Oreochromis niloticus: one gene and its partners. Each later gene encodes a partner of the first gene's protein in a complex. Links are inferred from orthologs where the notes say so. Each region holds a gene or a part of one and is shown on either strand. Other genes may lie near its edges. The genes, in order: alyref, chtopa, thoc2 and thoc6.

Region 1 (7,723 bases):
AAGAACCCAAATCCTAATCTACATTGTAAGTTCCAGCAAATGTTTATTTTTCCATCACACTAAAAGATGAAATCGGTAAAGGACGTGCTGATTAACTACTCGTTTCCTTTTGTTCTTGCAGCTTTCACACCAGTGGACCTGAGTGACCTCAAAAAACGCAACACACAAGACTCCAAGAAGTCCTAGTCTTTCTCTTAATTATCCCATTGCTTTTTTTTTTTCTTTCTCCCATACATTATCCTCGAGAACTTTTCCTCCGTCAGCCCTCTTGTCAGCCAGAAAGTTATCGTTGTTGGTCAGTCTAATACAGAATGCAAATCTAATTTCTAAACTCTGGACCATAGCAAAGCTTCTCTTCCTTCACCCTCGAAGACTGACTAAAAAGAAAAAGTTGGATTTCTTCCCTCTTCTCTCAGTTCCTGTTTTTTCCAGTCGCATTCGATATGTGGACGGGACCGATGCAAAGATTCATCCAAAATTTGCCGACTTTGTACCTCAGCTTTTTTTTTGTCTCCACAGGACGCAAAAGACTTCAGTCTTAAACGCGACGCTACTACTACTACTAATATGACATGGGAGGAAAATATGAAAGGGCTGACTTCTTATTTGTAGTTTTATTTTGTTTATCATTAATTAAGCAAGTGTAGAAGTAATTGAACATTCACACACACACACTTTATGGGCGAGTTTTCAAAGCCAAAACAGAGTGTAAACAAAGCCAACATTTTTATTATACATTTTCTTGCCCTTGGTCGGACTTTATTAAGTAGAGGGCCTCCCCAAGTATTGATAAATCCCCTCCCATTCCCCTCTTCTTTCCCAAAGCCTTGAAACAAAATGTTGAATAAAAAGACTTTTACATTACTTGTAGTTGTACTTATTCTACATAAATACATCACTGTATTTTTATCACATTAGAATTCTAGTTTTGTATTGGCCATGAGTTGTAATTAGTTTTTGATCCAGTTTATTTTCAGCTAGTTTCCAGAGTTGAAGTTCAAAAATGTTCGGTTAGCTTTTGTTTTCACCAGTATCGGTATTGTTTTAATTGTTTTTCTTTTTAATTATTATAGTATTTTGTTATTTGTCAGATGCAATATTTAAAAAGTCAGCAATTTAGATGTATCCCTTTGCAAGGCACTTGACGCACAGTCAACATGTAGGGCGGAGCAGATGATACTCCAAGGGTAAAGACAACCAGGCTTGACCTTGTTGGGTGATCTTACTATCAAATCATACATATATGACCATTTTAGAGGACTGATATTTCTCAGAACCTCCTTTTTAAGGCAGACTTAAACAATATATACACTATAATGACAAATGTATTCACTCAACCTTCCAGATCACTGGAATTCAGGTGTTCCAATCACTTCCATGGCCACAGGTATATAAAGTCAAGCACCAAGGCTTACAGACTGCTTCTACAAACGTTTGTGAAAGAATGAGTTACTCTAAGGAGCTGAGTGGTACAGTGATGGGATGCAACCTGTGCAACAAATCCACTCGTGAAATTTTGCCACTACTAAATAGTCAACTTTTAGTGGTATTATAAAAAAGTGGAGACGACTGGGAACAACAGCAACTCAGCCACAAAGTGGTAGCACATGTAAAATTACAGAGTGGGGTTAGCAGATGCTGAGGAACATAACGCACAGAAGTCAACAACTACAGACCTCATTCAGATTAGAAGGACAGTGTACAGAGAGCTACATGGAATGGGTTTCCATGGAAACAGCTGCATCCAGACCTTACATCACCAAGTGCAGAGTGTTGGATTCAGTCGTGCAAAGCTCGCCACCACTGGACTCTAGAGCAGTCGAGACGTGTTCTCTGGGGTGATGAACCACGCTTTACTGTCTGGAAATCCGATAGGCAAGAATGGGTTTGGAAGTTGCCAGGACACCAATACTTTTCTGACTGTATTTTGCCAGATGTAAAGTTTGGTAGAGGGGGAATTAAGGTGTGTTGCTGATTTTTAGTAGCTGGGTTCGGCCCCTTAGTTCCAGTGAAAAAATTGTTGTTTCAGCATACCAAGACATTTTGGGCAACAGTTTGGTGGATGGCCCCTTCCTGTTTCAACATGACCACAAAGCAAGATCTATAAAGACATGGATGAGCAAGAACTTGACTAGCCTGCACAGAGTCCTGCCCTCAACCCAACAGAATATCTTTGACATGAATTAGATACTGCAAGACAAGACTTCTCATCCAACATTAGTGTCTGACCTGACAATTTGCGCTTGGGAAGAATGGTCCAAAACTCCCATAAACACCCCTAAATTGTGTGGAAAGTCTTCCCAGAAGAGTTGAAGTGTGGGCCAACATCATATTAAACCCTCTGAATTAAAATTGGGCTGTCACTCAAGTTCACATGTGTGTTAAGACAGACAAGGATTATAGTGTATATGTAGAATAGTACTGGGGTGGCCGTAGCTCAGGAGGTGGATCAGAAGATTGGTGGCTTGATACATCTATCGAAGTGCAAACGTGTGTCAGTGTTTGATAGAAAGCACGTAGGAGTTAGATAAAGCATAGAAATAAATCCTTGTATGAATGGGTGAATGAGAGATGTTGTGCTCAAGTAGGCTCAATTAGCGTAGAAAAGCACTATATAAGCAGGGGTGCATGTGCTGTCAAAATAAAAGACACGCACCAGATAAGAAGTTGCAACGTGCGTTTGCGTACATATGATTTTCTGGAGGAGGACAGACATTTATTTAGAACTCTTAAAGATGTCGAAGAAGCAAGCTCCTTTAAGCAATTACTTTGGCGTTCCTCCACCTCCAAAGAAATGTCAGAAGGAGTCCAAACCGCAAAAGAAGCGCGTATTCTTGGAAAAGTGGTTGCAGGAGGTGAGCTGGCTTCAAACAAATGATGAACGCACAGAGATGTGGTGCAGAATATGCCGTGAAAATCCCACTCTAGCGGACAAAAACAGTGCCTTTTATATGTACGCAAACGCGCGTTTCAACTTCTTATCTGGTGCGCGTCCTTTATTTTGACAGCGAATGCGCACCTTATGTGCACCCCTGAATATAAGAACCAGTCCATTATCATTTATATTACACCTATAGGAGCTTTTTTAACAAATCTCATTATATACTGATCCATTTCGCAGCTTCCACATTCTGGGAAGGCTTTCTACTAAATACCGGAGTGTGTCTGTGGAAAGGTTTCCCCATTCATCAAGAAGCTGTTTGTTTAATTTAGTGGAGTAGATAATTCTATCTTGCTGATTAGTTTAACTTAGCTGAGTGCTTCAAATCTCCAAACATCAAATGGTGATTCTAAACTGGCTGTAGTTAAAAAGGTGTAAATGGTTATTTGTGTTTCCACGTTACCCTGTGCATGGTGTACCCCACCCCTTGCCCACTTTCAGCTCTGCTCGACCTTGAACTGGATATGTGGTTAAAAATATCGATGGATAGGTGATAGATAACTGTGTCTGAACTGACAGAGTGTGCCAGCAAGGGATAACTAAGCCAAGGGTAAAAGGGTCTTAAATAATTTATTGAATTGGACTGGATGAATGCAGGCATTGTTAAAATATCCAAACCTAGTTGTCAGTGCGGTAATCTCAACCTGCACAGCTCTGTGTAGCTGCAGCTGTTATCACACTATCAACGCCTGAAAATTGGATACTATATGACTCAATGCATTTTCTATTTCTAAATGTGGAAAAATTATGAAATTGATCCAGGGGGTAAAATAGCTGTTTACTAAGCTTTAAAAAAAGCAATGTTGAAAATGGTGCTTTTATTCAAAGCACCGTGTTAAAGATTGTCATCCATACAGTTGGATTTTATGTTTATCCATTCCAAAACCAGTTTTGATGTATGTTTGGGATCATCTTCCTGTTGAAACACCAAATGTGTCCAGGTTTCAACCACTTAGCCACTGACTTTAGGTGAAGTGAGGTGATTTGGAAGTGGTCCTACTTCTTCGTTATTCCAAACACTTTGTGCAATGTAACTGTCAGCAGGCAGTGTCTGGCTTAGGTGCAGTTTGGACAATTGTGGGGTGTATGTCTATAGTTTAGCCTGTGCTTTACAATCATTCCACACTGGAAAACGTTAGTTCACAGAAATCATTAAAAGTCAAAAAAATTACCATGACGATCGGTTATGACCACAAATATGTACATATTTGTTCAAACTGACTTACAGTGTTACATTTTCTTTCTTTTTTGTTTTCTTTTATTTCAGTTATTTTATACACACATAGCTGTAGTAGTTTGTGTAATGAAGACTTTCAACTACAACTCAAACTAATGAAATTTACAGTGAAACTGTAAATTTATTTTATTTAATATTTATTTAATATTTAGATTATTTAAATAATTGTAGATTCATTGTATTGTAGATTCATTGTTTCGGACGATACTGTTGATTGCTTCATTGTTTCGGACGATACTGTTGATTGCTTACCGATACTCATCTATGGAGCAAAACAATAGCAATTCCCTGTTGGTAACTTTGTACCAACATCTGATTGGACAGAAAGATGTTACTACGCATTGACGTTTGTCTACGTATGATACGCAACGAAACTGTTTTTCAGCAACCGTCTGCTCATTGTGTTTTGTCGTCGGGGAGAGAGGAAAGGGCAGGGAGCGGGACCATTGAAGTCTAGGGCTGTACTTTTTTTTTTAACTATTTCATTAACAGTTTAGCATTATTGGGGCAGCATAATGACCGATAAAATGGATATGTCTCTAGACGACATTATCAAGCAGAACAGGCAGCAGAGAGGTGGAGGCCGGGGCGGCAGAGGTCGAGGCCGCGGAGGCGCAGGTGGCGGCGGCCGTGGAGGAGGAGGCCCCGGGCGTCTCGGAGTCAGCGGTGGAGGATTTGGAGGCCGAGGCGGCGGATCCGGCCCGATGAGGAACCGACAGATCCCGAAACGCGCTAGAGGCAGACCAACGCCTTACAGCAGGGTATGAGAAAGTTAAAGGAAAAGCCTTCGACAAAGCTGAAAATGCCTGGTTAACGTCGTTCTGTAGCTAATCCCCTAGCCAGCTTGCTAGTCAAGCGAATAAAATGATTGCTAACCGCCGAGTTTTCCCTTCGGAGGAGAGCTCTATAATTGGCGGCTATGCATTAATGGAAGTTGTATGCATATTGTGTCCCTTCTCCCACAATCCATATGTGTTGCATCCTTTTTCAAGAGGAGCCCTTTTTGGAGAGAGCAGTTGTGTTAGCCGTGTTGGCTAACTAGCTAAAGTTGGATCGTAAAGGCCGAAGCGGCGCCATTTTGAATCAAGCACCTTAATTTAGAGCTAGTCGTCCAAGGTCCATATCGGTGCTTTTCCACCTCTTGAGTGAAATTGATGGTGAAAGGAAATCGCATCAACGAGAAATTCTACCCGCACGCTACTATCGTGGGAGCAAAATTCTTCTTTTTTTTTTTTTTTTTGGTCAAGTCCCAGCGCAGCGACCAGACGGCCTTTTGTTCGGGAGTGGCTGACGCTCTTCTCAGCAAGGCCCATTTTGGTGGCTATTCAACCGGTGTGGCTGTTGCTTTTTGGATGGATCAGTGGACTTTAAACCTCCTCTCTGATAATTTTCATGTTAAGGCAAATCATCACTCCTTAAGTGTGAATGAATATCTAAACAAAGCCCCAGTCAAAATGGCGTGTCTCAAAATGGACGCTCAGATAATCCACGCTCATTGATGGGGGGATAGCTGGGCCCCCTTTCGGTTTGTTTACATCCCCATCCCCACTCTCGTGTTATGGACATTTCCCCCTTCATGAAAGCCCTTTTCGTGGCTTGGTAAAGAACTCTTGGGCGGGCCTGGAAAACATGGTGCAACGCTGGAGGCAACGCTGCTTCAGATGGCGACCCCCTGTGTCCCTGAGGATCATATCTGGAGGGCCTCTGGTGGAGGTGCAGCTGGCAAGAAAACAGTGGGCAATTTTTGTAGCTAGCATGGGAGGTTGTTTGGGTTTTAATGTAGAGGTTATGGGTGGGAGTGGGATATAATAAAATCAGTTGGCTCTATTTGAACTTGGTCATTGAAAAGACATGTACTTTAAAAAAAAAAAAAATGTATCCAAAATGTATGCATGTACAGGTTGTATACAAGACATCCCCTTGCCTTTTAATTTTTTTTATATATATATTAAGTTGTCTTGTGTATGTCCTTATCTGTCCGAAGTGATTCACTTGCTTGTAGTGATGGGGTGGGCAGGGAATAGTGGGGATCCTCTTGGGGGACCTGAGCACCCTGACCATGTTGGAAGTGGAGCCCCTGCTTGCCCCAACACCCAGCCGTGTGGACTCTGTGAATGACAGAGGGCAAGGGGATCCTGAAGTCAGCAGGTGCGTTCTCTTTCGTCTGTTGCAGCCTAAACAGCTTCCAGATAAGTGGCAGCACGACATGTTCGACAACGGCTTCAGCGGCTTCAATGGTGCTGCTGGAGGTGGAGGAGGAGCTGGCGTGGAAACTGGAGGGAAGCTCCTCGTGTCCAATCTCGACTTTGGGGTCTCAGATGCAGATATTCAGGTATTTTAAGTTGTTTGTGATTCTTGGCCTGGGTTGGTGTGTTTAACAGTGTGGATCAAGAGGACCAATTGTTTTGGACGTGTGTTTGTTAGGAACTTTTTGCTGAGTTTGGAACTCTGAAAAAGGCTGCAGTTCATTACGACCGATCAGGAAGAAGCTTGGGAACTGCAGATGTCCACTTTGAAAGGAGGGCAGATGCGCTCAAGGCCATGAAGCAATACAATGGCATCCCACTGGATGGTAAGTCTTACGTTCTTTGACCTGCCAGTGCAAACAGTTTCTTAAAGTTTGCTGCTTCTGTAAAGATTTTGAGGTTCATGGTGTTTGTGTTTTTAGGGCGCCCTATGAACATTCAGCTCGTCACATCACAGATCGACACACAGAGACGGCCAATGCAGGGGTAGGTTGATATTTCTTTTTTGTTTGGGAGGGGGGGGCAGCAAATGTATTGATGACTTGATGTGTAAAGGCTCCTTTATCTTCAGTCTGAACAGAGGCGGCGGCGGAGGAGGCATGATGAACAGAAGTCGTGGTGGTGGCGGCTTTGGAGGCATGCAGAGAGGCCGTGGAGGGCGTGGTGCAGGTGGCCCTAGAGGACGTGGACGAGGCGGCCGTGGTGGTGGTAGTAGTAGCAAGCAGCAGCTGTCAGCAGAGGAGCTCGATGCCCAGTTAGATGCCTACAATGCCAGGGTATGTTTACCTGAAACTTGTAAATATGATTTCTTCTGAGTAACAGATTGTCCATTTTCTCAGATGTCTAATTAACTCTTGGTTTGTTTTCTCAGATGGACACCAGCTAAGAACGTAAAAACGAGCTCCTGAGGGTCGTCGTCCCTTCCTGTCTGCACAGAAGGGTGGCTGTTACAAATGTGCAGAATATTTTACACTTGGTTGTCTTCTAATGTGATTGAAAATATTGCCCCACCTCTTGTTTTAAATGCTCCAAAGTGTTTTTTACCAGTTTTGTTTGTGATAATTTTTTTTTTTTTTTTTTTTTTGTTTGTTTGTTTGTTTGTTTTCTTTTCTGATGGAAAAAATGGTTTCGACTGTAGGTTCTGGATCTGGGTTTCCCCAGTTTGTTCTTCTACCCTGTAGTTAAACACTTGTAATAAAAACCTGCAGTGCATATTAACCACATTAAATGTCCCAGTTTTTGTTTTCTGGTCATATGTCTACTTGTGTACAAGTTCACTATAAAATGTATGATTTCACC
Region 2 (7,555 bases), on another chromosome or scaffold:
CAGTTGTGCTCTTTATTTACCCATCGCTGTGGTGAACAGTAGCATCAGAGAACCACAGATGACCGATTTCCTTCTCTACTCACACACTCAGGCCACGTCCACATGGACACGGGTGTTTTTGTACACTGAGATTTTCCGTTTTCGTTTAAAAAATAAAAAACAATCCCGTCCAAATTTATATGCAAAAAACTAATTTAATAGCTTTCGAAAACATGCCAAAGCAACAGGTGGCAATATAATCAGGGGTGCACATAAGTGGTCCGCAGGTGCGCATTCGCTGTCAAAATAAAAGACGCGCACCGGATAAGAAGTTGCAACGTGCGTTTGCGTACATATAAAAGGGACTGTTTTTGTCCGCTCGAGTGGGATTTCCACGGCATATTCTGCACCACATCTCTGTGTGTTCATCATTTGTTTGAAGCCAGCTCACCTCCTGCAACCACTTTTCTGAGAGTACGCTCTTCTTTTGCGGTTCGGACTCCTTCTGACATTTCTTTGGAGGTGGAGGAACACCAAAGTAATTGCTTAAAGGAGCTTCTTTGACATCTTTAAGAGTTCTAAACAAATGTCTGTCCTCCTCCAGAAAATCTTATGTACGCAAACGCGCGTTGCAACTTCTTATCCAGTGCGCGTCTTTTATTTTGACAGCGAATGCGCACCTGCGGACCACTTATGTGCACCCCTGGATACAATCCTAACCCTGTAGAAATGTTGGCCAATCAGAAGTCGAGCAGCCTGGGAGGGAAAGTGTAAACAAAGATGTCTTTCTAAACTGTGTTTGTATACGTAAGCATGTAAAAACTGCAGATACTCAGATTAACAGCAACAGTATTTTGTCAACATCATTGTAGAAATTCATCTCATGTAAACAATAACGTGTGATGCCAAAAAAGGTGCACACCGTTGGCGTTGAGTGACTAAATCTCTGTTTTCTTCGTCCACACATAAACACAAAAACAGTTTTTAATAATCTGTTTTCAGTGATGCAAAACGCTGTGTACGTGTGGACCAAAGGCCCAAACGCACAGAAGAAACTGCGTTTTCAAAAATACCCATGTACATGTGGACGTAGCCTTAATTTGGGTTAAACATACTCAGATCGAACCAACAGTGCCACGGACACCAATTTCACCTGAACGTCGCGCTCACCTGCTTGTGATTCAGAGCAGCTTGCACCGAAGGCCGGTTCTCCATCTGCTGGGCCAGCCGACGATTGCGGGCGCTAGCCAAATGCTGCTGTTGCATGGTGGCTCGAATGCTTACCGCAGTGGGTTGCTTGTTCTTCAGCATATTAGTGAAGCTTTAGAGGTGGGAGGGAAAAAGAAGGAGGAAGTAAAAGAAGGGGACAGGGGATATACAGAGGAGGAGGAAGCAGGGTTCCACATCATGTCATTTCTCATATGGATGATCGTGGCAGCTCTTTAGTCATGTTAGACTTTGTTCCACTTGTTGGCACTTATTTTCTCTCTCGATCATATGATATTCCAGAGTTACTTACACTTGACTTTAGCCCGTGTTGTAAAATTAACACAAGGAGAAAAAACAGTTGAAAGCAGACTTCAGGACAGGAGAGAGAAAGTTTCAGAAGAAGAGCCACAATTGCCACTTACAAGCCTCCAGCTGACACTGCGGGGATGTCATCATGTCGCAGCAGCAGAGGCCAGGGCATGAGGTGTGCTTTGGCACCCAGCCACTTACAGGATGGACCGTGACTTTATTTAAACCACCAAGTGGTCCGGAACTAGGGAATTGGTGGGGAAGGGGTAGTCCCTTGTCACGTCCAAGCTAGGACTGAGTACTCTGAGCAGGGAAAGGAGGAAAGAAGAAGAAGACAGACATGGTAGAACATGAGGAGATAAAAAGCTTCACTTTGACTGGTCTGAGAGAGAAAAAGATGAGAGGCAGAAAAGACAAGATGCCCCATCTCAGTGACTTAGCTTTAGCTCTCTGCTCTCCTGCCCCATTTAATGGTGTATACATGACGTATACAGTGCTGTTTAAACAGGGAGCCAGCGTGCCAAGGTATTTACAGGACGGTGGTCTGGTTCTGCGTATGCTTTACCAACCACGACCGCTACAGTCACCCCTCATCTACATGTGTGTGCTGCTCACACAAAACATTTGGCCTGGGCAAGCCCCTTCTGCCCCACACTTCATTTACATGTAACACAAACAAGGACAGGGCCAACAGAGTTGAATGAGCAGCGCACACACGGGGAACAGCCAGAGCTGCATCCATAACAGGTTTGGTCCCAACAGTAGGTTTCCGTAGAGAGTATTAGAACCTTCACAAGCCAAGGCTGGCAGCAGGTGACTAATTTCTGACAGGGTGCGTAGCCTCTCACCGCTCATTTAGGGACACTTTGGTGGTGCTTTTCAGGACAACTTTTTGGGAGGCAGCTGCACTCATTTTGAAAGACTTTGATTGTAGAGTCCTGGAAACAGAAAAGACAGAACTTGTTTCACCTCCCTCTCTTTTACACATAATGTATGCACTACTACTAGATGTTAAATGACCACTTTTAACCCTGGAGAAGCCATGGGGTCAAATTTGACCCCATGGCTTCCCTAGAAAACCAATGGGGTCGGATCTGACCCCATGGGTTCTCCAGGGTTAAATCGCTATTGCAAGGAATTTGCTGTAATTAACATCTACAGCTGTTACATGTGTGTTTAACAGAGAGATTATTTTGAGGACTACACACAGTTTCACACAAATCCTACTGGGATCGTTTAAGTAACAGTCCTCCTGGTAGGAGTAACACACGACCCCCTCCCACCCAAGCTAAACTTCAGACCAGCCCGACTGCCAGTTTGGTTGACTTAGCAAAGTTTTCAACTTCTTTAAACTCTTTTCTGTGTCAACGGCATTTAAAATGATCGATTCTTTAGGGGAAATTTTTAATTTGAACACAATTATCGATCACGTCCGCTGGAAAAATGAAATGTTTAGCGAGCGCCCATCCGGTTATAACAAACTGCAGAGACAAGAACAAGGAGTAACGATTCCGCCTCGTCTTCGCTAACATGTCGTTTATCGACGAATAACAACTTTATCTCATACTTACAGCGGATTCTGCGTTGGTAGAGAAATGCCTCAAAGCTAGCTAAGGTTAGCTTTAGCAGCACAGCGGCTTCGTATAGGTGTCCTTGTATCCTGTTTAAATACAATTTACCATATACTAACTCCCCACGCACGCGCGGCTTGAAAAAGCGCGTGAGTAAGCGACCCTATATCAAACTCTCCCAGGAATATTGTAAAACGTGGGAATCGAGACTCCTCCGCGATCCGAAAGCCTAAAATGGTGCTCCTGGCTACACTGATGGGAAGAAAATGGAGAGGTTCTTGTGACGCTGACGTCACGAGGACACGACTTCCTGTCCGCTCGTGCTGGTTCAGTAAAATGGCAGCTACAGCTTTAGTCGAAGGTTCTTCTGGTAACGATGCTGTTGCCGAGGGTTTGCTCGACCTCCTGAGACCAGCAATACAGCAGCTCGATCTGCATGTAAACTCGGTCAGGTAATCAGCTTCCTCGTTAGATTAGACTGCAAACCGTGCTAGCTTTTTCTCTCCAATGTATTGACAGTCAGCTGACTTTCCCCGTCAGACTGATTGTTTTGTTGTTCAGTTTTCTCTGGACTCACGTGACTATTCGTTTCTTTGCAGAAAAAGCCAAGTGGAATTAAGAGAACATATAGACGGTCTGGCCACAGGTAAAGTCCTGCATGAAGTCCTTCAAATATAGCATCAGCTATAAAAGATTCATAAATAACGTGCTGGTTTTTTCAGAGTTATGCAGGATAAACGAACATCAGAAGGTGGCTCTGGACCTGGACCCATATGTAAAGAAGTTGCTGAATGCGAGGCGTAGAGTTGTGCTAGTAAACAACATACTGCAGAACGCTCAGGTCGGTACCAGTCTGTAGCTGGGCTTCTTAAAGCCCCCGAGAAATTGTATCACATGTTCTGCCCCTGTCAGCATGCCTGTACAGCCTTGGTCACATCAGACATTAGGCAAGAAATTAGTCTAATGTCATATTGAGCCCCGATAAGGGCGGTACCAGAGAACAGTGAGTGGGGATCACGTGTGCCACCTGAGTAGAACATGTGAGGTAGAGTAACTATGGAAGTTGTCTGAATTTGATTCTCCTGACATTGCCCGACTTCATCCACATGTTCATGTACAGCTGTAACTGCAGGGTGTCTGTGTGATGTCATTGCCACAGCACAGTTATTAGGTTTAGGGGACACTAGTTTTTTCACATAGGGCTGGGTAGGTTTGGATAACTTTTTGAAATCATCAGGTTATCTTTGCAAAATATTTAAATTTGTTTAATACTCTGAAACATGCAAGTGTGACAAATATGCAACAAATGGGGCAAATAATTGTTTTACTCCATTATAATTGTCTAGGTAGACTCTGCAGTGCACACATGCTCAAGGTAGACGAGATTGACTTTAAGAAAAATAAGTATAATAAGAACCAGTTTCCTGGCCCTGATGTTTACTGGTGTACATGTCTGTAAGCAAGTAGAATCCCAGCCTTAGAAAGTAGCAAGTGAACATAGTGGAGCATTTAGCAGCTCTAGACCCAGATATTTATCTTTAGCAGATTCAAGCTGAGTTAAAAGGAAGTTGTTGTTGTGTTTATAGCTGGACCAACAACTCCAGATAGAGTTAAAGCTGCTTTAAAACTTTTGTACAGCAAGAAATGAAGAAGTTCTTTACTTTATGTTTTTGTGATTATATAAATTAAACTGAATTGAATTGACTGCTTCTGTACCAGTGCACCTTTACAACTATTTATACTGCTGCCAATTATACACTAGCACTGGTTGTATTACTACCACTGTACAACTTCCACTATAATAAATAATAATTACTGCTATTAATAATATTGCTACCATCACCAGCGCTACAAATACTGTATGAAGAGACTTGTAATTCCGATTTCCATGGCGACCACAGATATACTAACTATTCAAGTTGCCTCAAAATGGTGTAAAAACAATACAGAAACAACATTACACAACCTGAGCTTTCTTTGTCCAGGAACGTCTGAGGCGGCTCAACCACAACGTGGCCAAAGAGACGGCGCGGAGGAAGACAATACTGGAGACCTCGGGCGTCTTTGCTTCCCGCTCACCTAGTAAACCATGAACCTCACCTTGAACCTCCTTCTGCTCCACACAGCAAATACTGTGAGCTATTTTGATCAGCAGCAAAGGATGATTGTGATTATAGGAAGCTAAAAAACAGGAGGGGCCAGTCTTCCTTTGACATTTGCTTGTCTTTTTGTTTAATACCTTGCTGATGTTCTGCACTGCTTTTGTCACAGTGAAATTCCAAGCTGCTGTCTGCTTACCATTTGACAACTTCAGAGTACGGGCTTGCAATACAGTGGAGATATTTATGTAATAATTCTAATGCACTCAATAAATAGATACACTATGTGGACAAAACTATAGGAGCCACAGCTCTTAATCTTTTGATGTTTTTATTCCCACATCTGTGTGAAATCAATCACTGGCTTTGCAACCTGCCTTCACAAACATTTTTGAAAGAATGGGTCATTGTAGAGAGCTCACTGTATGGCAGTGTGGAAGTGTACAAGACGCCACTGTTGGTGAATTTTCACTCCAAGATAATACACAATCAACTGGAAGTGGTATTCACTGGTGTGAAAAGTGGAAGATTGTACATCCTGAGAAGGAAAGGAAGCACTGGTGAATCCAGCAACACAAAAAGACCCGGACGGCCACAGAAGACAGCAGTGATGGATGATCACAGAATCATTTCCATGGTGAAAAGAAACCCCATCACAACCATGTGAACAACACTCTCCAGGAGAGGTTGCTGTATCCATGTCCAAGTCTACCATAAAGAGAAGACTGCATGAACATAAATACAGAGGGTTCACTGCAAGGTGCAGGCTACCCATAAGCCTTAAGAATAGAAAGGCTAGATTGGACTTTGATTAAGAAAAAGAATTGAAAAAGCCAGCACAGTTGTGAAAAAACATCCTTTGGACAGACAAAACCAAGATCAACCTCTACCAGAATGATGACAAGAAAAAAAGTATGACGAAGGTGTGGAGCAGCTCATGATCAGAAACATACCACATCATCTGTAAAACACAGGGGAGGCAGTGTGATGGCTCGGGTGTGCATGGCTGCCAGTGGCACTGGGACACTGGTGTTTATTAATGATGTGACACAGGACAGAGGCAGCAGAATGAACTCTGAGGTGTTCAGAGACAGCCTGTCTGCTCACATCCAGCTAAGTGCAGTCAAATTGAATGTTTCATAGTACAGATGGACAATGACCCCAAACAACCCAGGAGTTTATTAAAGAAAAACAGTGGGATATTCTTAAATGACCAAGTCAGTCATGATCCTAACCCAGCTGAGCATTTCACTTACTGAAGACTAAACCTGAGACAGAAAGGCCCACAAACAAACAGCAACTGAAAGCTGCTGCAGTAACGGCCTGGCAGAGCATTAAAAAGGAGGAAACCATCATCTGGTGATGTCATGAGTCCAAGACTTCAGGCTGTCAGTGTCAGCAGAGGGTTTTCAACCAAGTATTAGAAATGAACATTTTATTTTCAGTTATTTAATTTGTCCAATTACTTTTGAGCCCCTGAAATGAAGCGATTGTGTTTTAAAAAAAGATCCAGGTCCTTTCATTTTTATGCAATCGTTTTGTTCAACCCACTGAATTAAAGCTGAAAGTCTGCACTTCAGCTGCATCCAAGTTAATTGAAAATTCATTGTGGTGAATTACAGAACCAAAATCAGAAAAAGTTGTTACAGTTCCCTGTCCAGGTGTAATATGTAGGTGGCTCAGAACTTTTGTCCATATAATGTACAATAAATACTTCTATCCATGACTGCAATGTTAGAAATGTTGCTCCTGTTACAACATGCAAGAGAGAAGAAGATACTTTACCTGTGATGTTATGAACAGTTTCTGTGGTTGCTGCTGGAGCCACTGGCACATGGAGGTCATTTGCTTCAGGACCTTCTCCCATGCAACATGACTAATGTTGTTGAAAGGGTGTATTTTAATCCAAACATTTTCCTAAAATAAACTCTCTTTTTTTTCCCTTTTTTTTTTTTTTACTAAAACCTGAAGATAATGTAAATTATTATAAGACTTTGTATCAGAAAAGCCCCAAATGTAGACTACTGGCTATCTGTCATGATGTGATCTGAGTAGTTTGTTTCGCTGCCTCTTATTTGTCCTGCAGTTAAAAAGCACAAGCTTGTCCCCTCTTAATTTTGTGGCTGTTTAATATCCACATTTGCCCTGGAGTAGTTTCAAAGCAGATGCGTATTGTTAATAGAGTACTTAGAGGGACTGTTTTGTATAAATCAGAGTAGAAACTTGCCTACTTGTGGAAAGTAAATTCTCTGCACATGTTGAATTGTATTTTCAGCTATAGACACATTAAATACTTAAAGATACTTAAATGCAAATGTACCTGTAGAGCATAGTGTCTTTAGTTGTCTGTCATTTTTACCAAATCGTCACCGCATTAGGAGAAATCCC
Region 3 (7,500 bases), on another chromosome or scaffold:
ATGTTAATTCTCATCACAGCCTGCCACTTTAATAATAAATCAAACAGCTCACTCATTGTTATGGCCACTGCGTGTGTTCAGTAAAATTCAAGGAGTGTAACAAATGATTTTCTCTGGCAGAAGAGAACAGCAGTAGCAGCAGCGATGCGGTTTGGATGAACCGTGAGCAGAATGTGCAAACGCCAGTGATGATGCATTCACCCCATCTAACTTCCACTGTACTGAGGGATCCAAAGAAAATGAGGCCAGAGGACAGCTTCACAGCCACGTTCACCATGCCAGCAGAGCAGCATCCCCATCAGCCTGTGCCCCCTCAGCAGCAGCAGCCACACCCTCAACACCAGACTACCATTGATTACAAGTAAAAAATATATGTATTACATTATTGCATACATGTCCGCAGAGGTTTTAGTTGCAGTACAGTATGTAAAGCCACTTTTTTAAAACTGTGGGAATTATGAAGTAATGAACCCTGTTCCACAGTACCCAGGTTACTTGGATGCTGACACAAAGGCAACAAGCTGAAGCCCGTCAGCAGCAAGAGCGGGTTAGCATGCACTACGCCAAGATGAGGAACCACATGCAGCAAGCAATGTAAGAAGTTCAACACTTAACTGTTTTTGGCCGAACTTTGAGCCAATAAAGAGTCTGACAAAAAGCAGTCTACTGACGTGTTATGTTTTTGTTACTCGTCACAGTCGTCGAGGCTCTGGGCTCATGGAGGATGATGAGGAGCCAATAGTGGAGGATGTGATGATGTCATCTGAAGACCGCTTGGAAGATATCAATGAGGGCATGGATTTTGACACAATGGACATCGATTTGGTAATTAAAAAAAACCAAAAACAATAGTCTAAATTTGTCTAGATGCATGTTTAATCATTCCAGTAAGGAAATCCTAGGAAGTTGATTCAGCTGATTTGGATGTGGCATTTTCAGCAGGAGATGAGTAATGAAACATTTCTCCCACTGAAAATGCAGCATCCAGATGAACTGAACCAAATTTCCGAGATAATCTGAATCATGTGTTAGCAGAGTAAGCATCCTTCAGTAGTCTGGTCATGCCAGTCCTTCCAATAAATAAATAATAAAAACAAATGTTGATGTTAAAATTTATAATTTTTTTAACTGTATATTTTTTTTTTTCATCTTGTGGAGTATTCTTCTAACTGAGCTGTTACCTTTCAGCCGGCATCAAAGAATCGCAGAGAAAGAACCGAACTGAAGCCAGATTACTTTGATCCATCTTCCATCATGGATGATTCGGTAGGAGTATTTCACTCCTTATAATAACTTTTTCACTGTGTTTTGGATGGCACTGGTTACAGTCCTTGAGATAAGTTCATGTTCTTGAAACGATTTTTCTTAACTGTTTGAGTGAATGCCCAAGTAAGCATGATAGATCAACGTACAGTTCACACATGCCTAGCCTTATTTGGTAGGAGTCCATTTTCTTGTTATTTATGACCATTTGATTAAAGAAACCCAAAGGATGAACCGCTTTAGGTGTAAAAACAGCCACATATTTCTCATCTGTTCATCCTGTACACTTAATATATGCTTGTTTTTATTTGGTTCTGAATTTTTAACACTGCTTTTTTCTTTTGCCTTTAGGTTCTCAATGTTTCAATGTTTTAATATGAAAAGGACAGCATGTCATCGAAATCCTGGGACGGTGAAATGACTCTTTATAAATGAGAGTGGACTGGACTAAGTAGGCTTGTGAGACACCAATGTTTGCCTCTTTAACACTTTGTTAAAACTTAGGAGTGCTTGAGCTTGGATTTGAATTTTATTCTGCTATTTTCACACACCGGATTTTGGTCACACTGCGGCAGAGATGTTTCAGTTTTTGTTCAGTTGCCCTAAAAAAACTTGATGCCAGCTATCACTTGGCTACACTTGTTATAATGTGTGAAGCGTTACAGGTACGGATATTGTGTGGCAGTTTGCATGGTGATGGGACAATAACAGGCCAAAATTCAATTGAATGATGTATACCTTTAAACTCTTTAAGTAGACGAAAAATGTCTGTAAATACATAGCGGCCAATATACAGGGAGGGTGAACACAATTTCATGAACACCAGAAAATATAATAGGCTTGCAGAATAACACTACTGTTTTGATGCTTGTAGTGTTCAGTTATTGTTGAACACTATAATGACCCTGCACTTTGTTACAGAGGTGGTAATTGAGCTGGATGGTTATTTTTAAGCTTTGCATCGAGAAACTATCTTAGGTGTAAACGAACCCCCTCTCTGATGCAATCTGAACATACACTGAACATATAATGTTTCATAATGGCAGCAGTTATTAAATGGCTACTGCGTTATATTGGAAGGGTGTCAGTGGTATTGTTGTTCACCTTCTGAACTTTTAAACTGTAGATTCTGGCATGGCATGTAGCCATATATCGAAACATGTACACAGTAAAGTATAATGTGAACTGGCGTGTCATACTGTTTAAAGGCCTTGCCACAAGTTATATATATACAGCATTCTCAGATTTCTTTGTGATGGTATTTTTTAGAGACATGTGTTCTGCTTTTATACCTTCTAGATAACTTTGATTTATAGATATTTTGTAATGACAATCAAATGTAAATTAATGGTTTCTATTAATCATGTTATTTCACATAGAGATTAAAATGATCCTTTTTAAAGGAAATGATTATGTTACTATAGATGTGGCCAGCTGTATTTTCTTTTCGTCTCTCTGTAGCGAACGGGTACAAACGTACCTCATTGCTCAGATGTAGTAATTTGACAAATTGAGGCTGCATCTAAAATTATTTTTTAATGTTGGAAGAAATCACAATGTTGTAAAATTTTGACTCGACCTCAAATATGTAATCTCTCCTATATATTAACTATTTTTTTCCACTGTATAGTATCTAGTAATATCTAATATTAGAGACATGCCATGATTGCAATCTTTAAAAGAAAGGATTTTTAAAATGGTTGAGAACGATGTGTGTTTGTTTGGTTTTGTTTTGTTTTTCCTATTTGCAGGTGTTCAGAAATAGTTTTTCAAACTGCCAGTTTGGTTGGTTTGCCACTGCTGCGTGTATAAGAGTTATAGAAATATTCTAAATTACAAAGCTTCTAAATTCTTTAGCCAACAATCATAGTATCAGAATTGTATATTATACAGTTACAAATGTGTAATATATTGTGAATCGGTGCTCATTTTATATTTACTGTTTCTTTTTGTGTGAAATTTTGGGGAATTGTCAAAGGAAAAGAATGTAAGTCTTTGACATTAATCTACTAATTTGTAAGTGCACACACAGTGCATTGTTTTTTTCTTTGTTTTACCGTGGATTGTTCCGGTATTTCCTCTGTGTATTGGCCTGGCTGGCAGAATCAGACTTTATGGAAGAAGGTGTAATCATATTGTAGCTGAAAATGAATACCTTATTTCCTCAGAGTGTCACTATAATCTGGAGAATCAAATCATCTGGTCTTAAACATTACCACATACATAATAACTATTCATGTTAGGCAAATGAGAAAAACACCTCTTAGACTTGCCTGTAAATTTACATGACTCATGTCATTTTGGAGCTTTTCTGTTTTGCATCAAACTGCTGAAAATGTGCAAACATCTGTACGTTTATACATATTTAAATATTTGCATATATTAAATTTGTGTTTATATTCTATTTACAAAGTGCCCATTGCATCCTTTACTGTTTGTATTTATGTCTGGAGATGTAACATGAACAGAATAAACCCTCTACAACTGTGTGATGATTTAATAACACAGCAATAAATATGATTTGATATGGTATTAGAACACCTGTACTGTAACTATAACTGGCTTTTACTGATGAAACATGAGTGCACCGGAGGATTATGGAAATCGCAGCTGTCCTGTAGTTTGTTATGTTTAGGTAGTTCTTAGAGAAAATGTTACCGGTAGATTTAAATTGGGTTGTTCAAGTGTCACGGGATTTTATTTAACTAAAAAAGTTAAATAGTACAACGTGGAGAATCAAACTTATTCCCAGACTACACGACCATCACCACCACTCCGTGTGAAAACCTCGGACGCACAGCTGTCGATGTCCCACAATGCAACAGTGATCTAGCAGCGGCGGCTAACCACCACATTTGACCCTGTGTGTGCCATGATGATAAACTAGACATCCGGGCTGTGTGCATGGAAGATGGCGACACTTACCCTTCCTGGTGAATGGATCAAAAACTGGGAAAAATCAGGAAAACATGAGTTGTGAGTGCATCTGAATTTCAACGCAGTGTTGAATTTTGCATTTGTTTACCCGTTGTTTGCGAATAAAAAGTATCAAGAATGACGTAGCTAGCATTCAAATATAAGGCCGGTCTTTAGGTGTGTTAGCTTTAGCTAAGCAGCTAAAAGATAAAGTGGCTTACAAGTGTCACTTACTTAAAAAACAATACGTGTAATTTAGTTGCTGAGTATTGAATATAGTTAATTTGGTAGACTTGTGAAAAGAAGACTTCAATGGCTTTGAACGTCACCGTGGAAGCTAATGCTGTCTGCTAGCAGTCAGGCTAGCTTTACGCTCCCATTTGATTCGCCGTCAATGTGTAAACACTATGGCTGTTAACGCTAAGCGAGCTAGCATACACATAGCATACTCTTCTGTTGGTTCGATATCGCACTATCCAGTAAACTGGCGTAAATGTACTTCCAAAGTTCAAGGAATTAGCAGCCATCAACTTCGAGCAGACAACCGAGAATCAGCTGGCGAGAAAACCCCTTGGGCAGCCTGTTATAAACCTTAACACTAAATAATCGTGTGGAGGGAAAACAACGGACATTGACAAAACGCTTTAGCAGATTAGCCGTAACGTTAGCTACACTAATTGTTGTGTTGAATTCCTTTTCGTATGCTTTAATGTTTAGGCGGGGAAGCCTGGAAGAATAAAGATGACGCTTTTTGATTCAGTGTAACAAAACGTATCATTTGACGATATATTTTTTTAGGAGATGAAGATTTTAATCATAATGTTAACCTAGCTACAGCTAACGTCATACTTTTCTTAGCTGGCGTTAATTTCACCTAGATAATGGTGTAAGATAGCCGCTGTACGGTTTGCATAGAGACTGTGGACATAGCCAAGGTTATTCATCGATGCACATCTGTGCGCTTGGTGCTGTATAAAGGCATCTCGATTACCAGAGTCAACTTTATCACTAACATTACATGTCAAACTTAATAATTTAAGCAGTACTGTAAAAGCCTCTCCCAACACCTTGATGTACGGCGACTGTTATCTTAAAATTAGTTTCTTTAGAACAAAAAATACAAGAAAAACGTTGCGTGAATGATAATTTCACGCATTAATTTTGTGCGCTGCCATCGCCTTTGAGCTGAGACACAATAGGCTCATCCACAGTACTAGCTACGATTATGTGCTGTAGGCCTTACATATTTAAGAAAGGCCTGCAGTGGGATGCACCAACTCAAACTCTCGTTCCACTATCTTGTGTCAATAACTGATAGCACTTTAACTGGAAATTATGCCAAACAGTTGCAACTACGGGGTAACCATTAAAGTATTTCCATCAAGGCAAATTACCCGTTATACCAAAGCTGAGTACATTGCAGTGGAAGTGTTATTTGGCAGCACAGTGAGATGCCATCCTCTGTGATGACAGGCAGTAAATGAAAAGGTGGATTTCGTGTTGATACTAAAAGTATCACATTGTTATTACTTAACCAATATTTTTGACCTTATAATTCATTGATATAAAACATTGTGGACCTCTGGATCTACATCTTTTTTTTTTTTTAATATCATTTAGTCATACCAGTTGAGTTGCAATTAACCAGTCCCAGAGGCCAGGGTTTAGTTTAAAGTGGTGAAAATGTTGTCAGCCTCATTATACAAATAGCAGCTTTGCTTCGTTTGACCTTAGAGGCTCCGGCAATCCAAGGTGTCCGCTTGCTGTAACTCTGACTTTTTGTAGCATTTGCACTTCTTGTTCACAGTGTGTTTAGCACCTGACAAGCTGTTATCTCTAACAATTAAGCTGATGGACTGCGTTGAGTTTCTTACAGAGGAAAGGAGCTAGTGTGCTCCAGTGTGTGTAATTATACCTTTTAATGAATGGGATGTGCATGGCAGAACGTGCTCGATTAGTCTGCCTTTGTCATCACTACTTCTGATATTTTAATACCAGTCAAGCTGTCAACTGGGTGAACCGTAAGTCTTTCAATCCACCAGCTAAGCTATTGGACTAGTCACAGTCAGTTTAAGAGGGAGAAACATGGCACTCAGTAAATACTAACTATAAATCTGTGTGAGTGTTTGGCAACAGAAAAGGTAAGGGTTGTCCCGCCCAAAGATTCAGTCAGTAATCAATCCAGCAAACATAAGAGCCAGTGCTATTGTTATATGCACACACAGCAGTTTCAGCATAAATACTCGTGTAGTGACAATGTAGGTAATATAATATTTCTTGAGTTACTACATTGATAATTAGGATAAACCTAAAGCTTTATCCGGTGTAATGTTAAGACTGGATTAAGGCGTAAATAATGCAATAGTGTTATGTGATCTAAAAATATAACTTGGAGGAAGTGAACGGGATATTACAAGAATAATGTTATGTAGAAATTGTTGGCACGGAACAAATGGATTTAAATAAGTTTTCATGCATCCTGGTTCGTTCATTGAGCTTTATAAGGCTTTTCATCATCATGTTTTTGTACTCTAGTTTAATTTAAAAAAGAATTCTCTCTTTACTTCATAGTGTACAACTCTGCAAAGACCTTACAGAGAAAGCAGATCATGGAAGTGAAATTAAAGGTGAGTTGAGTGTGACCCTCGTTCCTTTAATAATATTCTTGTATGCATCTGTCACTGTATTTTAGCTTGCTCTTCATGCACACACGTCCATTTTGGGAATTCTCATAGTTTCCAAAAAGAATGCAAAAGGTTTAAAATTATTTACCAAAAATAGATTTAAAAAATAAAATCCATGAATTTCAGAAGTGCTGTCTAATTTTTGAAACACGGTACTATTCATGTTTAACAATGGCTGTAAGGTAGAAGGGAATTAAGCAGCCCATGTGGAGATTTCTGTTTGGTGTGTGCTGACACATGTCACAAAATTTCAGATAACACTGTAATCAAGTGATTTTATATCCAAAAGGTCAAATTTAACTAGGGCTGTTCGATATAACGATATATATCGGATGACGATACAAAAACATCTGTTGTTTCCTATTACGCTATCGTTTGTTTCGTGGCGTCATAAAATAAACTGTTTACAGCAATATTTTTTTCATCGTTTTGATGCTCACTGTAGTGGATATATTAATTAAAGTTTTCGCTTTCTCTTATATTTAATATAACCACACTATGGACGGACAAACGCCTGTTTTTACATGTTGTCGTTAGCAACAATGACGGTAAAACCACCGCGTAGCTCCGCTGTCCGCTTGTTTGTTTTCCACGTAAACCTTTCAGAATAAAGCTCAAGATCCTGTTGTGACTTTTC
Region 4 (7,705 bases), about 20 Mb from region 1:
GACTCAAAAATAAGGAAGACTTTCATCTTTAGAGGTTTAAACGGTTAAAGCTGCGACGCTGTTTCAAAGATAAAAGATGACATCGTTTTCATCAAAGTAAACTTTGAGGGAAGGAGGGGGAGGAGTCACAGTGATGCGAGGAAACGTTTTCTCACCATCCAGTCGGAGTCGGTGGTCACGCAGCTGATCCATTTACCGTACTGAGGCCGCGCACACACCTGAAACACACACCTCTGTTTATCCTCAGATAAACAGGAAAATACACCACCACAGGACGTCTGTCCTTTCTGGCACTCACCTCGTACTTGTAGACCTCGATGCAGTGAACGCACTGACCCGTCCTGCTGTCTGTAACAGCAACACATCACCTTCATCATCACTTCCATCACCATAATCCTCATCATCACTAATGTCATCACATCACCATCACCATCATCCTCACCATCACCATCCTCATCCTCACCATCCTCCTCACAGTCCCATGTTTCCTGTGAACTCACCCCACACCCTCACTGCTCCGTCCTCTCCCCCCGACAGGATCTCCGCCTCCCTCTCTCTTACAGTCACGCAGTGGACGTAGTCCGAGTGACCCTGAAGGACGGTCTGAAGACACAACACAAACCCGTCACCATGGAAACACAGAACTCCCCCAACAGATGCTGCCATGAAAATCAGATTGAACAGGTGTGAAACAGTTCAGTGCACACACGGACGTCCAAGTAAAAAAACTGCAGTTCCTCTGACGTCCAGCAGAGGCTCCAGCAGTGAATCGGTCCCCACAAACTCACACGTTAACAGCAGAAGTCATCATTCACACACACACACGGATGACAGTGACATGCTGTAAGGAGAAAAATACCTCAGCGGTTATAACATGAAACGTGGAGTCAGTTTTGTTCCCCACTCACCTTGAACACACCGTTTTCCAGGTCCATGACATGGATGTTGTTATCGCCTCCTCCAACCACCAGGCTGTTATCCTGACACAGAAACACAACTCCTTATGACACATTGGAGCGACACGTCCGACAGAAACACAAATATCCTCATTATCATCAGAAAAAAGGCCCAAAAATGGAACTAGCCCCCCAGTGCATGCTCCATCCCTTCTAAAAACACCAAATTAAATAACATTCAAACTTAAAAAAGAGTAAAGAGTAAAAAGAAGTGTTTAAAAAGTCAGAATAATAAAAGGACTTCAATAAAAAATACAAAAACAAACAAAGGGGTTTAGTAAACCAGCGGCTCTGACGATGACGATGAGGAGGATACTCTTCATACTGTCACAGGTTTGTGTTTTATTTCAGGTTCCAGTCTTTTCTGTTCGTAAAGGTGGGCCAGCTTTAATGCGATGAAGAAAAGCAGAGGAGAGAGGTGGAGGTGTACTCACTCTGGAGTTGATGGTCATGGAGTTGATCTCTGGGATCTCCAGGCTGGATCTGTAAGGAGACAGCAGATGTTTGAGTGAGGAAGGAGACAGGAGGCAGACGGGAAGCAGACAGGAGGCAGGGGTGGAAGGCTGGTTCTCACTTGTAGTTCGGTCTTCGGGTCCACAGAGGTTTGACGTTCTGAGGAAGCAGAAACACAAAAATCAGGCAAACTCGTTTTTCCTCTCCGTCTGTGTGTCCCTGAAGGCGTTCTAGGTTACCTTCTTGGTGAGCTCGCTCCAGCTCCAGGCGCTGATCTCTCCATTTCCCGCGCTCAGCAGGTGGCAGTCAGTGGACAGAAGGGAAAAGACCGGCCCCTCATGAGCTGCAGGACAACAAGACCAAAAAGGAATCTGTGAGGACAGTGTGTCCAAAATCAACACGGACACAATGAACGGCCACTAAAGTCCCAATGAAACCATAACTCCCCACAAAGCTGCAATAAAAATCACAATAAAATGAGCCTCAAAAATATTGACTCACAAACACACCTGGAACTCCACCTGGTGGTGTAAACAGGAACTACAGCATTATTTTTTACAGTGTGTCATATTTTTACTGTTGGTGAGCTGCGTCGAGCTTAGACTCAGAGGTTTCTCTTTCTACCTGTCTAAATCACCATGGTAACTGATGCTGAAGCCCTCACCTGGTCAGACGCAGGCTTAATCCTGAGTTTTGGTTTAAAATCAGCTGGAACCTTCACGTTTTCACTGATTCTTTATTTCTAGTGTCTTCAGCATGACGCAGATGTTTGTCACCAAAAGGACTGAACGACGCTTCAGCGCCTCACAGGAGCGTCCAGTGTGACAGGATGTTTAGCGCTCATGTGCAGGAAACAGATAAATGTTTGGTTCTATCACAGAAACAAAAGGCTGGAAAGGTGAGTGTGTTTCATGTGAGTGAGCTCAGACTTCCTCGGTTCTAATCACGTTGTTGTTTTTTCTGCCACTGTTCGAGTGCAGGTGTAAACACCAACAGGTACGCCTGTGATGTCCTCGCCATCCTGCAGAGGCTTCGTGGGTTTAGGGTGACCTTTGACCCGAACACTCACCTGTGAAGGTCAGAACGGGTTTCTGGTTGAGCGCGGTGGAGTCTGGACTCAGAGCTGCAGACAAACTGGAAAAAACAGCATTGAGAAATGAGAGGTGTGGCCCTTCAGTGCGAGTGAGCGCAGGCGAGTCGAACCAGGTGCGTTTGACTCACCTGAACACTGCGATCTCGCCGTAGTTGTTTCCAGCTGCCAGGAAGCGACCGCAGGGAGAGAAACTCTGAGAGAACACGGACATGTGCAGCAGCTGCAGACACAGACAGGTGCGTTAGTCCAAGCACCACAACACAGGTGAACAACCACACCTGTGCAGGGACATCTGGGTAACTTAAAGTTACCACGTGGTGCAGGACATGCAGTCATGTGACGTCACCTTTATTCGCCTGAGTGTAAACATTCCAATCAGCTTTAAATAAGCAGTTTGTGAATAAACGTGCATGTATCTATAAACAGATGACTCGCAGCAAAGGTTGTTACTAATACTGATCACTTCCGGTCAGTAAATCTATCGCACATCACATTCACCTCAACTTTTTAAAAAGCGACTAAAATTTAAATTCTTAAATTTAAATTCTTAAATTTTAGTTAAAGACTCGAATTTAAGTTCAGTGGAATTTTAAACGGAGTTCGTTTTGAGTCCGTTTTCCGGTAAAACAGAGAAAACCTGAAACTAATCTGAGCTCGTTCACTTCTTTGTTGATTTTTCTATCGTTCAGCACGAAGCTCGCTTTACTCTCAAACATCAGCCGGTTTCTCTATTTCCTGTTTCCGCTGAGATAAACGTTGTAAGCCTCACCTCCACGGGACCCATGCTGCTCACACAAACTCTCCGAGCTCCTTTAAGGCGAACACGGCACAAAACACCGAAACAGAAGCAAAGGAACCAAAACTCAAACAGAGGAGGGAAAGAGCGGACCAGGGCGAAGGAATGTGACGTCACCAACACTAGCCCCGAGGATTCTGGGAGATGTATTTTAGAAGCGACAAGCCTCTTCTCCTCAGCGGCTTGTCCTCCTCTGCACATCCTCCTTCACTGCATCCACGAACCTTCACTGAGCTCTTCCTCTTCTCTTCCTGTCATCAGCTTCATCATCATCGTTCTCCCTCCTCTGCACACGTACAGACCGTCTCAGCCTCCCTCCTCCCTCCTGCAGATCACAGAGACGCCTGCCTGGTCTCATCAGCCATCCCGTCGATCAGCATTGCAAACAAGCAGCGGGTCAGAGCAGATCCCTGATCTACTCTCACCTCCACCTTCAACCACCTCACCGCTGTCCTCATACGTGTGCTGCACCACCCTCACATACTTCTTCATGGTTCCTCGTGCAGTACCGTCAATCATCTGCTTCCTCTGATCCACAAACACACAGAAGCTCCTTCTCATCTAAAATTCTCCATCAGCACTAACATCACAGCTCTTCCTCAGCATGAAGCCACACTGCTGCTCGACAATCATCACCTAGCTTCAACATCTCTGTTGCACATGTTGGTGGTGTGGCTCACCAGTGTCATCCTCTCTCCTAGACGTCTCCACACCTGCACAGGTACACTGTACTGCCAAAAGTATTCACTCGCCAAATCATTGAATTCAGGTGTCCCAGTCACCTCCATGACCACAGGTGTTTAAAGTCAGCAGCTAGGCATGCAGAAAGAATGTGTGAAAGCATGGCTCGCTCTCAGGAGCTCAGGGAACTCCATCGTGGCGCTATCATAGGATGCCACCTGTGCAACAGGTCCAGCTGTGGAATTTCCTCACAACTTAACATTCCACAGTCAGCTGTTAGTGGAATTATAACAAAGTGGAAACAACTGGGAACACCAACAGCTCAGCCATGAAGTGGTCAACCGTGGTGCGAGGATGCGAGGCGCAGAGTGCACAGGGGTCGCTGACTCTCTGCAGAGTCAGTCACTACAGACCTCCAAACGTCATGTGGCCTTCAGATGAGCTTAACATCTGAATGCAGTGGTGTAAACCACGCCACTACTGGACTCTAGAACAATGGCGGCGTGTTCCCCGGACTGACCAATCATGCTTCTCCATCTGGCGATCTGATGGACGAGTCTGGGTTTGGCGGTTGCCAGGACAACGGTACTTGTCTGACTGCGCTGTGTAAAGTTTGGTGGAGGGGGGTTATGGTGTGGGGTGTTCTTCAGCAGTCTTCGTGCTTCAGCAGACCGAGACACTGTGGACACCTTCATGTTCCCAGTATGTGGGAACAGTGTGGGGATGGCTCCTTCCTGTTCCCACATGACTGCACACCAGTGCACGAAGAAAAGTCCATAAAGACATGGACGAGCCGGTTTGGTGTGGGAGAACCAGACTGGGCTGCACAGAGTCCTGACCTCAGCCTGATCCAACACCTTTGGGACCAATCAGAGCGGAGGCTGTGAGCCAGGCCTTCTCCTCCAACATCACTGTGACCTCACACATGTGCTTCTGGAAGAACGATCAACACTTCCCATAAACACTCCTGAACCTGTGGAAATCCTTCCAGGAGACGCACAGCTGCACACAGACATATTCACTGGAGTTCATGGCAGAACGATGGATCTCATCCGGACCAGTCTCTTTCCACTCTCCACCCTCGTCTTAGCTGCTCTCAGAGTTATCATAGTTTTATACTCTCAAATGATTTTGTATTTTTATTTCATTTTGAGTTTTTAATTCACTTTAGTTTCCAGAGCACATTTTCTTGTGTCGGTTCAGTTCGGTTCACAGCACAAAAAATCATCAGCTGCCCCCTGCCCTCCTTGTCTGCTGTCTACAACTCCTGTTGTCTCAGCAGGGCCAGAAACATCTCAAAGGACACTACCCATCCGGCTACCATCTTTTCAACCTACTGCCGTCTGGCAGGCGCTTCAGATCCATTCAGGCCAGGACAAACAGACTCAGGGGCAGCCATCAGCATACTCAACTCAAACTTGCACAAAAGTGATCTGCACTGAAATATCATCAATTCTCTGCCTGTCTGTCTCTGTCATCTAGTACTGTACTGTGTATTTATATTTATATTAAGTGTATAGTTAAATTATTGTATAGTTTTTATAATGTGCTAAAGCACTTGTGCACTTTTATAGCACTGTTTCTAATCTCATTATACTATGTATAATGACAATAAAGGCTTTCAGTGGCTCTGACCTCACATGTCATGAAGACGCTGGAGAGACTCGTCCTAAAACATCTGCGGCTGCTGGTGGAGCCTTGGCTGGACCCCCTGCAGTTTGCTTATCAACCTCGTATCGGTGTGGAGGATGCCATCATCTACCTGCTGGACCAGGCTTATTCTCATCTGGACATTGTTGGGAGCACTGTGAGGGTCATGTTCTTTGACTTCTCCAGTGCTTTTAACACGATCAGACCATCACTGCTGGGGAATAAGCTCACGGAAATGCAGGTGGACGCCCCACTGGTAGGTTGGATTACGGACTATTTAACAAGTCGACCACAGCATGTCCGACTGAAGAGCTGCCGCTCAGATAACATCCTGAGCAGCACAGGGGCGCCACAGGGGACGGTCCTATCACCCTTCCTTTTCACCCTCTACACATCTGACTTCAGGTACAAGTCTCAGTCATGCCATCTGCAGAAATTCTCAGATGACTCTGCCATTGTGGGCTGTATCAGGGATGGACAGGAGGAGGAGTACAGGAGTGTGGTGGACAGCTTTGTCGAGTGGTGTGAGCTAAACCACCTACAACTTAATATCACAAAGACAAAGGAACTGATTATGGACTTTAGGAAGCAGGCTCCTCCTCCTACCCCTGTCACCATCAGAGGGGCTGACGTGGAGATCGTTGAGGACTACCGGTACCTGGGGGTACACTTGGACTGTAAACTGGACTGGACCAAGAACACCAATGCTATCTACAAAAAAGGGCAGAGTCGGCTTTTCCTACTGAGGCGGCTCAGGTCCTTCAATGTTGGTAGGAAAATCCTGACCATGTTCTATCACTCGGTGTTGGAGAGCGTTGTGTTCTTTGCAGCTGTGTGCTGGGGAAGTGGGGTGAAGACAGCTGATGCCAACAGGCTGAACAAACCGATTAGAAAGGCCGGTTCTGTCCTGGGTGTCAGACTTGAGAACCTGGAGGAGGTGTCTGAGAGGAGAATGCTAAAAAAGCTTCTTTCTATCATGGACAACCCCTCCCACCCCATGCACGCCCCCATGATGGACCATCGGAGCAAACGCGGCAAAAGACTCATTGCCCCGAAATGCAGAACTGACCGCCACAGGAAATCCTTTGTACCGGTGGCAATAAGACTGTTTAACTCTTCCTCACTCTGTAGGTGATTCTCCTGAGACTATTACCTATGTTATTCTGTTCCCTCCCAGACCGTGCAATATTACCCAAGAGTACTTATTGAATATTTGTTTTCATCCCCCCATCATACGCTGCTACTCCCTTCATTCTATTGCACAATACTTTGTCACTTTCTAGAATCGCCTGCACTGATAGTTTAGTTATTTATTCACCAGGATATAGTTATGTATATTACTTTGTTAGAGTTATCCGATTATTTGTCTTGCACTATCCTACTGTATATTACTGTACACTATTCTTATTGTATATATATTGTATATCTTATATCTATTTCATCTGTGCCTCGGTCTCTCCTGCTGCTTTGAGCATGTACATGACAAAAGAATTTCCCTCGGGATAAATAAAGTTGTTCTTATTCTTATTCAATTCAATTCAAGTTTTTCTTAGTTTTGGTCTTTCTAAGTATTATTATTGGCATGAGTCAGTGCAGGTATTAAAATAAAACAGGATTTTTTTAATTTTTTTTTTTTACCAAACTTACAAACACATTTCTTCTCTATTATTGTTTTATTTTGTTTTATTTTGTTTTGCAAGTTTACAAAATAATTCAATTTTTACTTGAGTTGATTAAAATGATTTTTCACACTTGGCTTCAGTTAGCTGTGATAACCTCGGCTGACCTCACTTCCTCCATCCTGCTCTCTTGCTTCATTCATCAGCTCCACACAGAGCTCCTTCCATCTTTCCGTCTCTATCTTCACCTTACCACAGGTGCTCGTTAACCTGACCATCTCATCTTTACGATGTGCATGTTTGCTCTGACATCAGATGGACTTCCTGATAAAACCCTCCTAGTTTATCTGAACCAGGACTACACTGGCTTGTGGTCCCCGTGTGGCTGGGAGACATTGTGATATTTTGAAAAATAATAAATATAAGACAACAAAAGGGAGATAAACAGTGTTCAATC

What was found.
Region 2: alyref (region 1) and chtopa share a complex: the UniProt entries of both Homo sapiens proteins name them as parts of the transcription/export (TREX) complex. The link is inferred for Oreochromis niloticus from reciprocal best matches to the Homo sapiens genes ALYREF and CHTOP.
Region 3: alyref (region 1) and thoc2 share a complex: the UniProt entries of both Homo sapiens proteins name them as parts of the transcription/export (TREX) complex. The link is inferred for Oreochromis niloticus from reciprocal best matches to the Homo sapiens genes ALYREF and THOC2.
Region 4: alyref (region 1) and thoc6 share a complex: the UniProt entries of both Homo sapiens proteins name them as parts of the transcription/export (TREX) complex. The link is inferred for Oreochromis niloticus from reciprocal best matches to the Homo sapiens genes ALYREF and THOC6.

What each region holds. Positions count from the first base shown.
Region 1 is NC_031969.2:13,796,901-13,804,623, forward strand, and holds the start of alyref (THO complex subunit 4), read left to right. Parts: upstream 1-4,550; 5' UTR 4,551-4,693; coding exon 4,694-4,939; intron 4,940-6,351; coding exon 6,352-6,510; intron 6,511-6,602; coding exon 6,603-6,750; intron 6,751-6,846; coding exon 6,847-6,910; intron 6,911-6,995; coding exon 6,996-7,200; intron 7,201-7,295; coding exon 7,296-7,310; 3' UTR 7,311-7,723. Other genes in the region: mcrip1 (mapk-regulated corepressor-interacting protein 1), read left to right, coding at 1-25, 122-186. UniProt on the Homo sapiens protein: Functions as an mRNA export adapter; component of the transcription/export (TREX) complex which is thought to couple mRNA transcription, processing and nuclear export, and specifically associates with spliced mRNA and not with unspliced pre-mRNA.
Region 2 is NC_031985.2:35,541,556-35,549,110, forward strand, and holds the start of chtopa (chromatin target of PRMT1a), read right to left. Parts: upstream 3,396-7,555; 5' UTR 3,069-3,395; intron 2,436-3,068; 5' UTR 2,411-2,435; coding exon 2,346-2,410; intron 1,301-2,345; coding exon 1,150-1,300; intron 1-1,149. UniProt on the Homo sapiens protein: Plays an important role in the ligand-dependent activation of estrogen receptor target genes. May play a role in the silencing of fetal globin genes.
Region 3 is NC_031975.2:10,793,556-10,801,055, forward strand, and holds the start of thoc2 (THO complex subunit 2), read left to right. Parts: upstream 1-4,084; 5' UTR 4,085-4,174; coding exon 4,175-4,239; intron 4,240-6,750; coding exon 6,751-6,806; intron 6,807-7,500. Other genes in the region: stag2a (cohesin subunit SA-2a), read left to right, coding at 121-361, 484-594, 699-825, 1,189-1,266, 1,615-1,638. UniProt on the Homo sapiens protein: Component of the THO subcomplex of the TREX complex which is thought to couple mRNA transcription, processing and nuclear export, and which specifically associates with spliced mRNA and not with unspliced pre-mRNA.
Region 4 is NC_031969.2:34,255,969-34,263,673, forward strand, and holds the start of thoc6 (THO complex subunit 6 homolog), read right to left. Parts: upstream 3,431-7,705; 5' UTR 3,287-3,430; coding exon 3,272-3,286; intron 2,723-3,271; coding exon 2,631-2,722; intron 2,544-2,630; coding exon 2,479-2,543; intron 1,753-2,478; coding exon 1,649-1,752; intron 1,569-1,648; coding exon 1,531-1,568; intron 1,440-1,530; coding exon 1,391-1,439; intron 981-1,390; coding exon 909-980; intron 604-908; coding exon 501-603; intron 349-500; coding exon 299-348; intron 219-298; coding exon 156-218; intron 1-155. UniProt on the Homo sapiens protein: Component of the THO subcomplex of the TREX complex which is thought to couple mRNA transcription, processing and nuclear export, and which specifically associates with spliced mRNA and not with unspliced pre-mRNA.